2 linked regions of the Saccharomyces cerevisiae S288C genome follow. The protein of the gene in region 1 binds, or shares a complex with, the protein of each later gene. Each region holds a gene or a part of one and is shown in the gene's direction. Other genes may lie near its edges.

Region 1 (7,674 bases):
TGTGGAAAAAAGAAAAATGCCAAAATTGCAAACCCTAATTTAAAAGGGTTACAGAAAAAAAAAAGCAGGTCTGAAATGCAGTTCGCCATGGTTAATATCTTTTCCTAATTTGGAAATATGTAAACAGGGCATCTTTCCTTTTTTTCTCCTAATGAAAATTGTAAGCAAAAGCATGAAACAATACTGCCACAAGAGGAGAATTCCTCCTTTTGAAGTCTAAAGCGCCATTTCAAACTAGTTTTTAGGAGGTCAGCCAAACGTTCATTCAGATTAGTTACTATCTTGGAATACTTCTAGTAGGAAAACAAAATAACATATACAGTAAGAACAATAGAAAACGTATTTATGTCCAACAAGGCAAGTGACCAATCAGCACGCACGGCTTCCATCCTCAAGACTGATATTACCAGAGAAAACACAATCACCAGAAGCAGCAGCAGCAACAACGACAACTACCATCACCACAATAACATCAATAATTACAATGAATCGGCGAAGACAGGAGAGGACGCCAATAAAGAGAATATACCTAATTTAGAGGAGGAGATTGCGGCCTTTCGAATTTTTAGGAAAAAAAGCACTTCAAACTTGAAGTCGTCACACACCACTAGCAATTTGGTAAAAAAGACAATGTTCAAAAGGGATCTTTTAAAACAGGATCCGAAGAGGAAACTCCAACTACAACAAAGATTTGCATCACCGACTGACAGGCTGGTATCACCATGCTCATTGAAATTGAATGAGCACAAAGTTAAGATGTTCGGAAAGAAAAAGAAAGTCAATCCTATGAAACTGAACTTTAAAGGCAACCTTGCTGCCGATTCAGAGGATGTAGAAATCGATGAAGATGAGGAGTATTTCTACTAAAAAAATCTGCCTTTCTAGTCATCCAAAAATAGCCAAATGCTACACTAAACCAATAAGCAAACGAGTACATAAAGAATAAGTAAATAATAATTCAACAATACCTGATTTTTTTTTTCTTACATTTTTTTTATTATTCATTAAAAGCAACCACCAAGCTTTCCAAATTATGAAACCTTGATAAAATGGCTTCAAAATCTTGATCTGGAATTCCGTTTTTTTTGAAGAGGTCGAAAATTATTTGCTTGATTAGAATTTCAAAATCAATAAACTCGTCCATATCCACGCTGTTCCGTGTCAAACGCTGGTTAGCTTTAAAAGCTAGAAAATATTGATTGTTTTCAACATATCGACTTCTGTCTACTGGTGTAACCTCTGTAATAAAGTAGCGGGCACCCGTTTTCGATGGTCCATTTATTAGATCTAGTGACCTCTCCAATAAGATATCCCAATAAGCTATTGAGAATTTCAAGCGCGTGAAATTCAAATTTATCATCAGAGAACGATGTGCGGGAACTCCAGGGCTTTTCTGTATTTTCTCATAGACATTATTTATCAGTAATTGCAGCTGTGTAACAATAAAATTGACGCCACTTTCTTCGTCTTGTAGCTCCTCGTTAAGCTGCGAAATTAACCTGCTCGTATTCACAGTAACACACTTAACCACAGAATGTTCTTCGACATTAGAAATCTCTTGTATTTTTTGTACATCCCAAAAGAATTCAGACATTTCTATTGAACCATTCCAGAAATGTTGTTCCAGAAGTTTATTCTCTTGAACCTTTACACTATTTCGTATTTTCTCGGTTTTAGCCGCCCACTTTTCACGCGTTAACAGGGTAAGCTATATCAGATGTGACTTTTCTTTTTCACTCATCTAATGTTGTTTTTCGCGTCACATTTTTTGCCAATAAATAAATACATCACAATGTTCTATATTGTATATTCAATGGAAGTCATTAGGTTATTGGGCAAGATTTCAAGGAGGTAGCATACTGGTAAATATACGATCCATGAGCACATCACTTCTGTTTGAGCAGCTAAATTTTTTAATTTTAGTGGCAGCAGAGGCTGAGCTTCCCATCGCTCACTCTACTAGAAAGCTTTTGATGGATAATTCATGCAATAACTGTCAAATATACGAGCTTTATAACGAAAATTTGAAAGATGTCAAGACGGATAAAGATTGGTTCATGAACAAATTCGGCCCGCAAACAGTACATTTTGTCATTAGTAATACAATCAACTTTCCTTTTTATAAGATAGTTTATTTCGATCTTTTGATCCCGGTGGTATCACACACTTGGGTCCAGGATTCGGTCAAGACGAAGAGACATTTGAGGACAAATATGTATTCACCTAACCCATTTCATTTGCTCCGAGACTGTCAAGTATATATTTCCAAAAGCTCGTTTAATAAGTGTGAATACATATTATACTCTGATTTGCTTCATTTATTAGGAGGCACTTTAGTCAATTACATCTCAAATAGAACGACGCATGTGATTGTTCAAAGTCCCCAGGACCCGATCATAGCAACGGTCAGTAAATTGACATTTGGCTCTTTTTCCTCTTCATCGACCAACAAGCACACCGAAAAGCCTTTGAGAGAGTGGAAATTTGTCTATCCAATATGGATATTATATCATTTCAAAATGGCGAAGCCCTTGAAGGGCGAGCTTGCTACTTTGTGTGAGCTTGATATGCAGGACACCAGTGAGGAACAGTTATTCGCAAAATGGGAAGAGGTTATTGGCGATAAGCAGACATCATCATCGCAGCTTACTCTTCATCCAAACAAAACTTTATTCAAAAATCACCACTTTGCTATCTCACCAGATTTAAACTTTTTCACACCTTTGTATTGGTTTTTGAAAGGATTTATCGAGGATTTGGACGGCAAAGTAACTCCGTTGAGTTTTTCTGACGATCTGAAGTCTGTTTACCAAGCTTTTCCTGATATTGACTGTTATATCGGCCACTCTGCTAACTCACCGATACTAGAAAAAACCAAAAGCATTAAACCGGAAATTCATGTTGGGAACGTAAGTTGGTTGTTTTATATGTTTGCGCTGCAAAAATTTACACCTGTATCGCAATGTAAACTTATTCACCAACCATTTCATGCGAAATTATTTACTTCTAAGGAATTAACAGTCGCGTACACTAATTATTTCGGCTCCCAAAGGTTTTATATTCAGAGGTTAGTAGAAATATTAGGAGGACTTAGCACACCTGAACTAACAAGAAAAAACACACACTTGATCACGAAGAGTACAATTGGCAAAAAATTCAAAGTCGCAAAAAAATGGTCACTGGACCCGCAAAATGCCATTATTGTGACAAATCATATGTGGTTAGAGCAATGTTATATGAATAATTCCAAGTTAAACCCCAAAGACAGTAGATTTCAAAATTTTAAATTGGATGATAACATGGGATGGAATATCGGCCAAATAGGAATGGATCATTCATCTCTCCCAACTCCAAAAAACCTATCGATGGTGACTTACGACACGCAATCCATATCAGAGAAGCCGCCTCCCACAAATGATCAAATGGATCAAATTAACGATAACACCAATGTATTATCAAAGAAAGATGGTACGCCCATTAGTAGTTTTGAGAACTCAATTGATGAAAAGATTGACAAATTACAAAAAATATCAGGAGAGGTGGCTGTAACCCATTCTGGAGATTTAGAACGGAGTTTTGTTTCCAGACCTTCAAGGGCAAGTTTTCCAGTAGTTGACAGTAAAAAATCTAATTTACAAAAGAAAGACTCAAACTCAGATATTAGTATGGAAACAGAGGTTTTCTGTGAAGGACATGAAAAAAGAGAAGAAAAGGAGTTTACGAAACCTATTACGGAGTATGATGCACCTAAGAAACAAGAAATAAGGGAACAGTCACGCAAGAAGAATGACATAGATTATAAAAAAGAAGAGGAAGAAACGGAGCTGCAAGTTCAGCTAGGACAACGAACTAAACGAGAGATCAAAACTTCGAAGAAAAATGAAAAGGAGAAAGAAACCAATGAATGTCACATTGAAGTAGATCAAATGACGAATGAAAAGCAAGGGGAGGAAAGTACAGGAAAACTGATTTCTACGGAAGACGTCACTTCTAAAAAAGATACAGATAAATTCTCGCATTTGTTTGAAGGATTATCTGATAATGATGATCACATTAATGACGAAAAACCGGCAGTTAATTCCAAATATACCACACCCAAGACGTCTCAAAATATTACGAGTGGCGTTGATACTCCAACCACCGCGCAAACGCAAGTTTTTATGCCATCAAGTGGCAATTCAAGGTTAGCAAAGACACAAGCTGCGAAGAGATTGCATACAGATATTGAATCATTAAATGAATTTCAGAAAAACTTTAAAAGGAAGAGAATTGATAGCGAGGAGATTTCATTGTCCCAAGATGTTGAAAGGTCAAATAATAACAAAGAACTGGCTACTAAAGCGGAAAAGATATTAGCTAGATTTAATGAACTACCAAATTATGACCTAAAAGCGGTTTGCACCGGTTGTTTCCATGATGGATTTAATGAGGTTGACATCGAAATATTGAACCAACTAGGTATAAAAATTTTTGACAATATTAAAGAAACGGATAAATTGAATTGTATTTTTGCTCCAAAGATTTTGAGAACCGAGAAATTTTTAAAAAGCTTAAGTTTTGAACCGTTAAAATTCGCATTGAAACCTGAATTTATTATTGATTTACTGAAACAAATTCATTCTAAAAAAGATAAACTTTCTCAAATAAATATAAACTTGTTTGATTATGAGATAAATGGAATTAATGAGAGTATAATATCAAAAACCAAACTACCTACTAAGGTGTTCGAAAGAGCGAATATTAGATGCATTAACTTAGTCAATGATATACCGGGTGGTGTAGATACAATAGGCTCTGTTCTAAAGGCACATGGTATCGAAAAAATCAACGTTTTACGTAGTAAGAAATGCACATTTGAAGACATAATCCCAAATGACGTTTCTAAGCAGGAAAACGGAGGCATTTTTAAATACGTACTTATCGTCACCAAAGCTTCACAGGTTAAAAAATTTACCAAACTGATTAATGATCGTGATAAAAACGAAACAATTTTGATTGTTGAATGGAATTGGTGTGTTGAATCAATTTTTCATCTCAATGTTGATTTTACATCAAAGAAAAATGTTTTGTATCAAAAGAAAAATAACTAAAAATGGACACTATATATTACGTCATCTGACATACGACACTGATAACAAATAAATATATAATAATTATAAAGATGCGTTGTAGAAAATCTTATGTTCAACAAACAACCCACATATGATTAACAGACCATTTTAAATGTCTAGTTAGAAACAATTATTTGGTACTGTCTTTGAATTAGATTGTTTAATAAAGCATTTCTAATATAGGATACAAAGGGTCAAATAGTACCGTGAGTAGAATCATTTATTCCACACTTTATCCGCAAACCTTTTAATTTTTCTACAATTTCATGGATAAAAACAGATTCATGGCCAGAATGCGTAAAGCAACTCTATTGTACAATTTTCCACTCTGAGATATTCACACAGCGGAGAGCCCTTCTACTCAATGCGTCAAGAACAATGTTCCAAACCTAGTGTATTTTAGGTATATTATTACGAGAGTATCCGCAATGTTAATGACGCAAAATTTAATGGCTCAAGCCAACTACTAACGTTAGTAAGAACTTTTTGATCTAATAATTAAACAGGTTACATCCATAGATTTACGTCAGAAATCTTAAATAATGTTTACATGCGAACAGTACCAAGATACATATATGTGGAGCGGATGAGAGATAAAATTGGGTTAAATGGGAAACATTACGGTATGATGCATAATTTTGAGTTTGGGCTTATTATCCTCGTGCGTATTGTATCGTCTCAATATGAGTGAAGATAAATCACCTATTACCCGAACTTTGAAGAGAACACTCTGAAAATTTGGTGAATAAGAAAGGGCTGTAGGTATTATTCGCGAAGCTTTCATTTATTGTAGTGAAAACTAGGGTGACAGAAGCTGATGGTCTGTTCTTCGATTTAGTACTGCCAATTTCAAGTTTTTCACTTCTATAGCTTTGGTATTGGTCATTGTAGAACAATTTTATAATGCATGAACACAAAGCGGAGCTACGGCTAATAACCGTTGCACTTAACGAAGCATCCACCGATTCCCCCTCTTTTAGAGCTTCTGTCAATTATTTCCATACCAGAATGGAATCTCTGAGTAGTTGGATGCACAGTACTGTGGATTATGTAGAAAATACGTACAAGCCTTCGTTCCAAGACTTCCAAAGAATAAAGGAAACACTATTTTCACAGCTGCTCCCTTCTCCTATATTACTCTCCAATGGATTTGTCAGTAACCAGCCATATACTCCCTTGCTTGTAAGAGACTTTACTAGAGATGTCAGTGACCTTTCAAATACGGTTATGAAAATAATTTTAGGTGATGAAAACTCACAATACACTGCGGCATTGTCTGCTTTGAGCTCTGATGCTATTAACCCTTACTTCAACAAGAGAAAAACTTTTGAATACTACCAAAGGAAGTATGATTCGTTTTTAACTGACTTTTTAGCGGCCACTAATGATGGCAATACTTTAATTCCACAAAATCTGCAAAATGAAACATTCAAATTAGTCGATATTAAACACAAATATATAGAAGCTTCCTTGGATTTGACTGAGGCTATTTCGTTAATGAAAGTTAATTTGGATAAATTCCTGATAGAGACAATAGACATTGTGCGCAAAAATAACGTTATTACTACCAAGGACACCAAGGACGTTATCGACATTACTCCCGAACTTACGGAAACATTAAAGGATTGGACCGATTGGATAGAAAGTAACCTTCAGACTTTACAAGCATTGTCATCCAAGCTATCTGAAGCTAAGTATGCCATTCTGAAGCTCAGCTTGGCAAGAATGAAGCCATCTCGCCTGATACAAGACTATGATTTGAAAAGCATACAAAATTTGAAGTTTAACCTTCCAAAATCGATAAGTAACGGAAATAATTCTGAGGAAAAAGGGCTATCGGGTTGGTTGTACATGAAAACTACAGTTGGTCATGATCCGAAAAGAGTTGTGTGGGTAAGAAGATGGTGCTTTCTACAGAACAATGTTTTTGGAGTTTTTTCACTGTCGCCTAGCAAAACTTATGTCGAAGAAACCGATAAATTCGGTATATTATGGATAACTGTAGAATATCTGCCCAAAGAACCTAGAAATTTTTGTTTCAAATTGAGGATTCAAAATCCAAATTGCAAAACAGAAGAAGAAAATACATACATAGATATCATCCTGCAAGCTGAAAGTATTGACGAGTTAAAATCGTGGATAAACACCTTAACTTCTCACAAAAGAATCGCATTGTCGATAAAGGAGGAAAACGATCCTCGTTATCAATTGGCGAGAAAAAAAATTGAACCTCAATTTTTCGAGTTTGCTTCAAGTAGCTCAACGTCAACAGATAAATTATTAACTTCATTTTCCAGTAAAACTTTGACATTGGTAGAAGAGCTAAAAAAAAATTATATGTCAGAGGATGATATATACTCTATCATTGATAATAAGGCATACCATCTGAGAGTAATTTCTACACCGATAGCCACGCAGTTGACTCATTTGGCTTTATTCTCTACATTTCTATCTGTATCAAATTATTATCCGTGTGCTACCCAGGCAAACACCTGGGGTACGGCAAATTGGAATGATTTGTCCTATTTAGTCAATCCACTCAAAGGAAGTTCAGTACACAAGC
Region 2 (7,456 bases), on another chromosome or scaffold:
AGAAAATGTGTTGCAAGAAATGCATTATGCAATTTTTTGATTATGACAATCTCTCGAAAGAAATTTCATATGATGAGACTTGAATAATGCAGCGGCGCTTGCTAAAAGAACTTGTATATAAGAGCTGCCATTCTCGATCAATATACTGTAGTAAGTCCTTTCCTCTCTTTCTTATTACACTTATTTCACATAATCAATCTCAAAGAGAACAACACAATACAATAACAAGAAGAACAAAATGTCTGAAATAACCTTAGGTAAATATTTATTTGAAAGATTGAGCCAAGTCAACTGTAACACCGTCTTCGGTTTGCCAGGTGACTTTAACTTGTCTCTTTTGGATAAGCTTTATGAAGTCAAAGGTATGAGATGGGCTGGTAACGCTAACGAATTGAACGCTGCCTATGCTGCTGATGGTTACGCTCGTATCAAGGGTATGTCCTGTATTATTACCACCTTCGGTGTTGGTGAATTGTCTGCTTTGAATGGTATTGCCGGTTCTTACGCTGAACATGTCGGTGTTTTGCACGTTGTTGGTGTTCCATCCATCTCTTCTCAAGCTAAGCAATTGTTGTTGCATCATACCTTGGGTAACGGTGACTTCACTGTTTTCCACAGAATGTCTGCCAACATTTCTGAAACCACTGCCATGATCACTGATATTGCTAACGCTCCAGCTGAAATTGACAGATGTATCAGAACCACCTACACTACCCAAAGACCAGTCTACTTGGGTTTGCCAGCTAACTTGGTTGACTTGAACGTCCCAGCCAAGTTATTGGAAACTCCAATTGACTTGTCTTTGAAGCCAAACGACGCTGAAGCTGAAGCTGAAGTTGTTAGAACTGTTGTTGAATTGATCAAGGATGCTAAGAACCCAGTTATCTTGGCTGATGCTTGTGCTTCTAGACATGATGTCAAGGCTGAAACTAAGAAGTTGATGGACTTGACTCAATTCCCAGTTTACGTCACCCCAATGGGTAAGGGTGCTATTGACGAACAACACCCAAGATACGGTGGTGTTTACGTTGGTACCTTGTCTAGACCAGAAGTTAAGAAGGCTGTAGAATCTGCTGATTTGATATTGTCTATCGGTGCTTTGTTGTCTGATTTCAATACCGGTTCTTTCTCTTACTCCTACAAGACCAAAAATATCGTTGAATTCCACTCTGACCACATCAAGATCAGAAACGCCACCTTCCCAGGTGTTCAAATGAAATTTGCCTTGCAAAAATTGTTGGATGCTATTCCAGAAGTCGTCAAGGACTACAAACCTGTTGCTGTCCCAGCTAGAGTTCCAATTACCAAGTCTACTCCAGCTAACACTCCAATGAAGCAAGAATGGATGTGGAACCATTTGGGTAACTTCTTGAGAGAAGGTGATATTGTTATTGCTGAAACCGGTACTTCCGCCTTCGGTATTAACCAAACTACTTTCCCAACAGATGTATACGCTATCGTCCAAGTCTTGTGGGGTTCCATTGGTTTCACAGTCGGCGCTCTATTGGGTGCTACTATGGCCGCTGAAGAACTTGATCCAAAGAAGAGAGTTATTTTATTCATTGGTGACGGTTCTCTACAATTGACTGTTCAAGAAATCTCTACCATGATTAGATGGGGTTTGAAGCCATACATTTTTGTCTTGAATAACAACGGTTACACCATTGAAAAATTGATTCACGGTCCTCATGCCGAATATAATGAAATTCAAGGTTGGGACCACTTGGCCTTATTGCCAACTTTTGGTGCTAGAAACTACGAAACCCACAGAGTTGCTACCACTGGTGAATGGGAAAAGTTGACTCAAGACAAGGACTTCCAAGACAACTCTAAGATTAGAATGATTGAAGTTATGTTGCCAGTCTTTGATGCTCCACAAAACTTGGTTAAACAAGCTCAATTGACTGCCGCTACTAACGCTAAACAATAAGCTAATTAACATAAAACTCATGATTCAACGTTTGTGTATTTTTTTACTTTTGAAGGTTATAGATGTTTAGGTAAATAATTGGCATAGATATAGTTTTAGTATAATAAATTTCTGATTTGGTTTAAAATATCAACTATTTTTTTTCACATATGTTCTTGTAATTACTTTTCTGTCCTGTCTTCCAGGTTAAAGATTAGCTTCTAATATTTTAGGTGGTTTATTATTTAATTTTATGCTGATTAATTTATTTACTTTCGTATTCGGTTTTGTACCTTTAGCTATGATCTTAGCTAATTGAAGAGGGTGGTGTGATCTTTAACCATACCTTATTATCTTTCAGCTGCTTACCATTTTCTTATATTGATTTTTAGCGAAAGATTTTTATTCACAAGCTTTTTTTATCCTTAATGCTCGAATACTACAACAAAACAAAAAACATTAAACAGTTTTTAATTTTGTGAACAAACTGAATTACAAGGCCTTACATCTTATTTAGAATATATTAAGAAACAGAGGCCAACATGCCTTCTTAATTATATTGATATGGACCTCTGTCCTTCCTAAAAACGGGTTTTTGTTCGATGAAAAATCACCAGTAGAGCACCATATATGAATTTACAATCATTGTAGGGAAAAGAAAACTTGTTCTGCTTCGCCAATTGATTTCATTTCTTTTTTTCCTTTGTTTTTGTTGTATACTATTAATATGCGTAGTTCTTTGTCACTTAGTGGTTTTTTGTTTAATTTATAACGCGAAAGCTGCATACTAAAAATATAGAGATGAATGGAACTCCGAACAAGCAAGAGAGATATTATCTATCTCTGTTCCATAATAATAACCAGTAGTTCAGTTGGGGAACTTAATAATGGAACTTCAGAGGGCACAACGGAATTTGAAGTTTTTACAAAACGAGGATTATGTGAACGTTACCGATCAAACTAACCTGAATGGAGAGAGCCAGAATGCTTACTCTTTAGGAATGGAAACTCAAGTACCGGAAATGCAGTTTTCCTTATCATCTGATGATGATTCAATAGGTACGCAAGTAAAAAGCGTAACTGCACAAAAATCGCCTATGACGCAAGAGACTACGAAAAACGATACAGAAAGAAATAAAGATGTTGATAAAAGTTGTAACCCAGTCAGCACTTCCCATCCCGATTTAGGCGGATCAAATATCGAGGAGAACATATTCATTAACACTCAAATTCAAAGCCGACTTGATGACGCAGAGGAAGAAACAAATCTTAAGTTAAAACTTGAAAAATTCAAGTATTCGTTCAAGAGTAGTAACGCAGATGATACCCACAGCAATGCAAATGTAACAGCTAAAAGAAGACCAGCAATAAGGAAGGCTAATTCGAAACTCAAAACAAAACCTAAAACTAAACGAGACCCTAAAATTATCAAAAATATAACTGATTTCAATATTAATAACTACGAACGTTCAAGGACTGCCAGCTTATTAAAGCAATTATCAGGTAAGCACAAGAAGGTTTTGGACATAATAAAGACGCAAAATGAAGGAAACAGTGATAAACCTCCCAGAGCAAGGAATAACAAGGGTGAAAAAGCTACTTTTGATACATATAGTGAACAGGAGTGGAAAGATATTATGAAACTTCTTCTACAAAAGTTTCCGCAAAGTGAGGAAACGGATTTGAATGAAGTCCAGAAATTTTTATATGGAAGCGAAAAAAGCTCGAATTCTCTAGACAATCAAGAATCCTCACAACAAAGACTTTGGACAGCATCACAATTACCACCCGAGCTTCCCGATGAGGCTATTCAACCAGAGCAGGAAGAAAGGATACGCGATACCCAAAGTGCAGTAAATTTCTTATCGTTGTCTCAAGTAATGGATGACAAAAGTGAAATTATGAAAGACGAAGAAAGCATAATTATTTCACGGGGAGATTCTACAAGCTCTCAAGAATATGGAAACGGGTTAGAGCCACAACAACCGGTAGGAAATGTTGTTGGTGAAGATATTGAACTGGCTGTGGGAACACGTATAAATGCATTTTCACTGACAGATTATAAAGCTTGCAAACCTATGTCTGTTGAGGTAAGTAGAAGATGCGAAAACAGTACGGATAATGATTATGACAATATTTCTATTGTCTCAGATACTACAGATGAGACATCCACATTGTTTCCACTAGACCAGTATCGGTATGTTTTCATTGAAAATGATGAAAGACCACCATTAGCCACCGACACGATAGGCAGCACACAGTTTTTCACTCCAAACACATCGCCTTTGGATGGGATAATCGATTTAACACAGGAATCATTCAAAGCTGTTCGATCGTTAATATCACCTTTGAAAGTAGAAAACAACAAAACAGGGGTAACATCACAAGCATCAAATCAGGTTCAGGTACCAGCTACAAGAACCCCTACAATTATTCCTCAAAAGAACCTTACTACAACTTTAAAAACTGAAGAAGAAAAGAATAACATAGGAAGTTCCATCAGAGTTAAATTATTGCAAGAAAGCGTAGTTAAGCTAAACCCCAAACTGGTGAAACATAACTTTTATAGAGTTGAGGCAAATGATTCTGAAGAAGAGGAGACAGAATTTGATGACCAATTCTGCATTGCTGATATCCAATTGGTAGATTCCTCCAAAATTTCGACTAAAGATTCTACACAAAATCCTACTACTAGCAACGACATTATTGATACCTCTGCAGCTAGTTCCATAGCTTCTCCCGAGAAATTTTGTGAGATCATGATGTCCCAATCAATGAAAGAGCTTCGACAAAGCTTGAAAACAGTGGGGTTGAAACCTATGAGGACGAAGGTTGAAATCATTCAATCCTTACAAACTGCATCTCAAATTCTGTCCACAGCTAATCCAGATAATAAAGGTGAGCATGGTGGGGTGGCAAATTTCAGTAAGATAGAAATATTTGATCATTTAACCGAACTAATTGAAGCCTTCCCTGATTTTTTGGAGCGAATATATACCTTTGAACCCATTCCGCTAAATGAGCTAATTGAAAAGCTGTTCAGCGCCGAGCCATTTGTTTCGCAAATCGACGAAATGACCATCAGAGAATGGGCCGATGTTCAAGGAATATGTCTGAGAAACGATAAAAAGTAGTGCCGAATGATTGAGAATTTGACAAAACAAAAACAAAACAAAACAAACGTTACGTATAGATGAAGAATACACGTACACAAATATGCATATATACCGTCATGAAGTAGCTTAACTTAAATAAAAGTTTTTTTTTTTTAGAGTTACCAATATCGCAAACATGAAAATGAGAATAAAAAAAAAAAAGCAGAAAAAAAAAAAGCATAACATGGAGAAAAAAATAATAAATAATTGAGTTTAGTTGAGACGCCGGTCTTCGCCAGGCCAGGAATTGTTTCACCAGGTCATTCTCTGCAAAGCCTTTACTTTAACATTTAGATTCTTCTTCTTGGCGGAGCCGCGACCATTGCTTCTCTTTTCGTCTGATTGTTTGCTAGTCGAAGAGACGTTACAGTAAGTACCAGCTTTCACGTAAACAGCAATGTCGTTGTCGTCGCCATGTTTGAAGCAGCATCTTCTGCCATAAGGACAATAACCTAGTTTCTCCCAATTCACACAGGGCTTCGTCCTGAAATTCTTGCACGATTTCTTAACCTTTAATTCGCCGAGTCCGTGAGCAAACTGACACTTACTGCCATAAGGGCAACTTCCTTTTAAAGTGAATGATTCGCACAGCTCTGTCTTGTATAATTGTTTGGGAGTTTCCTGCACTTGGCTTTTCACCTTAGGTTGAGCTGAGGATTCCTTCTCTGATGAAAAAGAAGCATCATTTTTGGGCTTTTGTTGAGACAACTGTTGCAAATTCTGTGAAGTTAATGGTAATTGTGAAGATTTTGGGACATAGTCCGGATTTATTTGTACCTCTAGTTTCTTTTTAAAAGTAGTAGGTGCCGTGCTATTCAGGTGAGCGGATGGGAGAAAAGGGTTCATTAACTGTGGATCATACAGTAGCCCCGGTTGAATAGCGTTTGTATTTTTTGGTGGAGAGAATGAAACTGCCGAAGATATTTCACTGCTTGTTTCCTGTATGTTATCCTCGTTTAAAATCGTCTTGTTGTAATACTCCTCCAGTTCCCTAATATTGATCTGGTACTGGTAGTCATTTAATGGATTTTGCTCTTGATCTGTGGAAAACAACGACGTTAAGTCAGTCTTCTGAGATTCTGGTCTAGTATATGATAATTGAGCCCACATATTGCGTTATTTTTTACGTATTGAGTTTGCAGCACTGTTTCGCTTTCTCTCAAGATGCACAAATACGACCTACCAAGAGCCTCCAAGTCCCACCAACGATTATGTCTTCTCTCAAATATATATACAAGTTACATGTAGAGAAATCGAGACGAGATTGCTGGCACAATGCACCCAACTGCATGTGCCATTGTGCATCTACACCTCCAAATTAGGGTGTCGATTGGCGTCGTCTTCTTTAATGTGGGTGCATTTTGCGGCGGCGCGACAAATATAGAGAACTGACCAAGGCAGTGCTGTCAAGAAGAGAGAATGGTTACGGCAGCGAAGACGCAAATGGGCTAGGCAGAATGGCATTCAAGTTATGGCTACTGGATGAGGAAACAATATACGAGCACGTGTTCGAACGGTACACACAATTGGAGGGCCAGTCCGGGAAACTGGCGCAGGATTTGGGTATTCAGGATAGAAGGGGCGGTGTGCTAGAGATAACGTTTGAACCCTCTGGGCTGGAAGGCGGCAGAAAAAAAAAGCGAGTGAGAAGAAGAAATAAGGCTAGTAGTGTTGAAGAAGATCAGAATGTTGCTGTGGATAGCTATCATGTTAGCGTGGGGCAGTCCATATCAAGCTTGCGCTCGTCCAGAGACAACGGAAACTCCACCACAGGATACGTTTTGTGGTCTACCACACCTTTCTTCATCAACTGGCTGCTGTATAGTACTAGCGCTGCACCTTTCCGTCTTGGGAGTCAGGTGGAAGTAACCTGCGGGTCTTCTTGCGAGGGGCACAAGCTTGAGTTGCCCAGGCTGGTCGACCTCACGGGCGCTGATCGCGGCAAGAGAGGTATCTTGGAACTTGGAGCAGGAATATCAGGTATTTTGCCCGTGATTCTTGGTAACTTCGTCGACACCTACGTGTCGACAGATCAGAAGGGCATTCTTAATAAATTAAAAGATAACATCATGGAAAACTTATCACAGTTGACCAGAAAGCGGTGCATTTCCCGATCACTAAGATTGGAACTTCCCACCGTCGAACCAGTTGGCGACGCTGATATCACCGCAGCGTCACTTCCATCTAAGTCTACGTTGCATTTGGAAGTAGCCGCTCTAGACTGGGAGAAGATAAACTTGCAAGACAAAAAGACCCACTCTCTGCATCCTGAGTTGTCACTCATAGGTGAAACATGTTCTTCCGTGTACGTTATAGCTATGGATGTCATATACAACGAGTACCTGATAGATCCGTTTCTGAAGACGCTCAAGCAACTCAAACACTGGTTACA

The links. The genes of interacting proteins can lie anywhere in the genome.
Region 2: the proteins of RTT107 (region 1) and SLX4 are in contact, whole or in part, in a crystal structure (PDB 6J0Y), measured with the Saccharomyces cerevisiae proteins. Residues at the interface, in NP_012024.1 of Saccharomyces cerevisiae: Thr105 (codon at 2,190), Lys106 (codon at 2,193), Arg107 (codon at 2,196), His108 (codon at 2,199), Leu109 (codon at 2,202), Arg110 (codon at 2,205), Gln126 (codon at 2,253), Tyr128 (codon at 2,259), Lys131 (codon at 2,268), Ser132 (codon at 2,271), Ser133 (codon at 2,274), Phe134 (codon at 2,277), Asn135 (codon at 2,280), Asn155 (codon at 2,340), Tyr156 (codon at 2,343), Ile157 (codon at 2,346), Ser158 (codon at 2,349), Arg160 (codon at 2,355), Pro172 (codon at 2,391), Ile173 (codon at 2,394), Ala175 (codon at 2,400), Thr176 (codon at 2,403), Val177 (codon at 2,406), Lys179 (codon at 2,412), Leu180 (codon at 2,415), Thr181 (codon at 2,418), Phe182 (codon at 2,421), Gly183 (codon at 2,424), Leu198 (codon at 2,469), Arg392 (codon at 3,051); in NP_013236.1 of Saccharomyces cerevisiae: Ile538 (codon at 4,408), Arg539 (codon at 4,411), Val540 (codon at 4,414), Lys541 (codon at 4,417), Leu542 (codon at 4,420), Ser546 (codon at 4,432), Lys549 (codon at 4,441), Leu550 (codon at 4,444), Asn551 (codon at 4,447), Leu554 (codon at 4,456), Tyr560 (codon at 4,474), Arg561 (codon at 4,477), Val562 (codon at 4,480), Glu563 (codon at 4,483), Ala564 (codon at 4,486), Asn565 (codon at 4,489), Asp566 (codon at 4,492), Ser567 (codon at 4,495), Glu568 (codon at 4,498), Glu569 (codon at 4,501), Glu570 (codon at 4,504), Glu571 (codon at 4,507), Thr572 (codon at 4,510), Phe574 (codon at 4,516), Ile580 (codon at 4,534), Ile583 (codon at 4,543), Gln584 (codon at 4,546), Leu585 (codon at 4,549), Val586 (codon at 4,552).

Annotation. Positions count from the first base shown.
Region 1 is NC_001140.6:401,089-408,762, forward strand, and holds RTT107 (Rtt107p), read left to right. Parts: upstream 1-1,877; coding exon 1,878-5,090; downstream 5,091-7,674. Other genes in the region: SPO12 (Spo12p), read left to right, coding at 346-867; SPO16 (Spo16p), read right to left, coding at 998-1,594; LAM1 (Lam1p), read left to right, coding at 6,015-7,674. UniProt on the Saccharomyces cerevisiae protein: Required for resumption of chromosome replication after DNA damage, specifically in S phase. Is recruited to chromatin in the presence of RTT109 and RTT101 in response to stalled replication forks and acts as a scaffold during DNA repair.
Region 2 is NC_001144.5:410,485-417,940, forward strand, and holds SLX4 (Slx4p), read left to right. Parts: upstream 1-2,796; coding exon 2,797-5,043; downstream 5,044-7,456. Other genes in the region: PDC5 (indolepyruvate decarboxylase 5), read left to right, coding at 239-1,930; TIS11 (Tis11p), read right to left, coding at 5,317-6,174; RKM5 (S-adenosylmethionine-dependent methyltransferase), read left to right, coding at 6,522-7,456. UniProt on the Saccharomyces cerevisiae protein: Regulatory subunit that interacts with and increases the activity of different structure-specific endonucleases. Has several distinct roles in protecting genome stability by resolving diverse forms of deleterious DNA structures.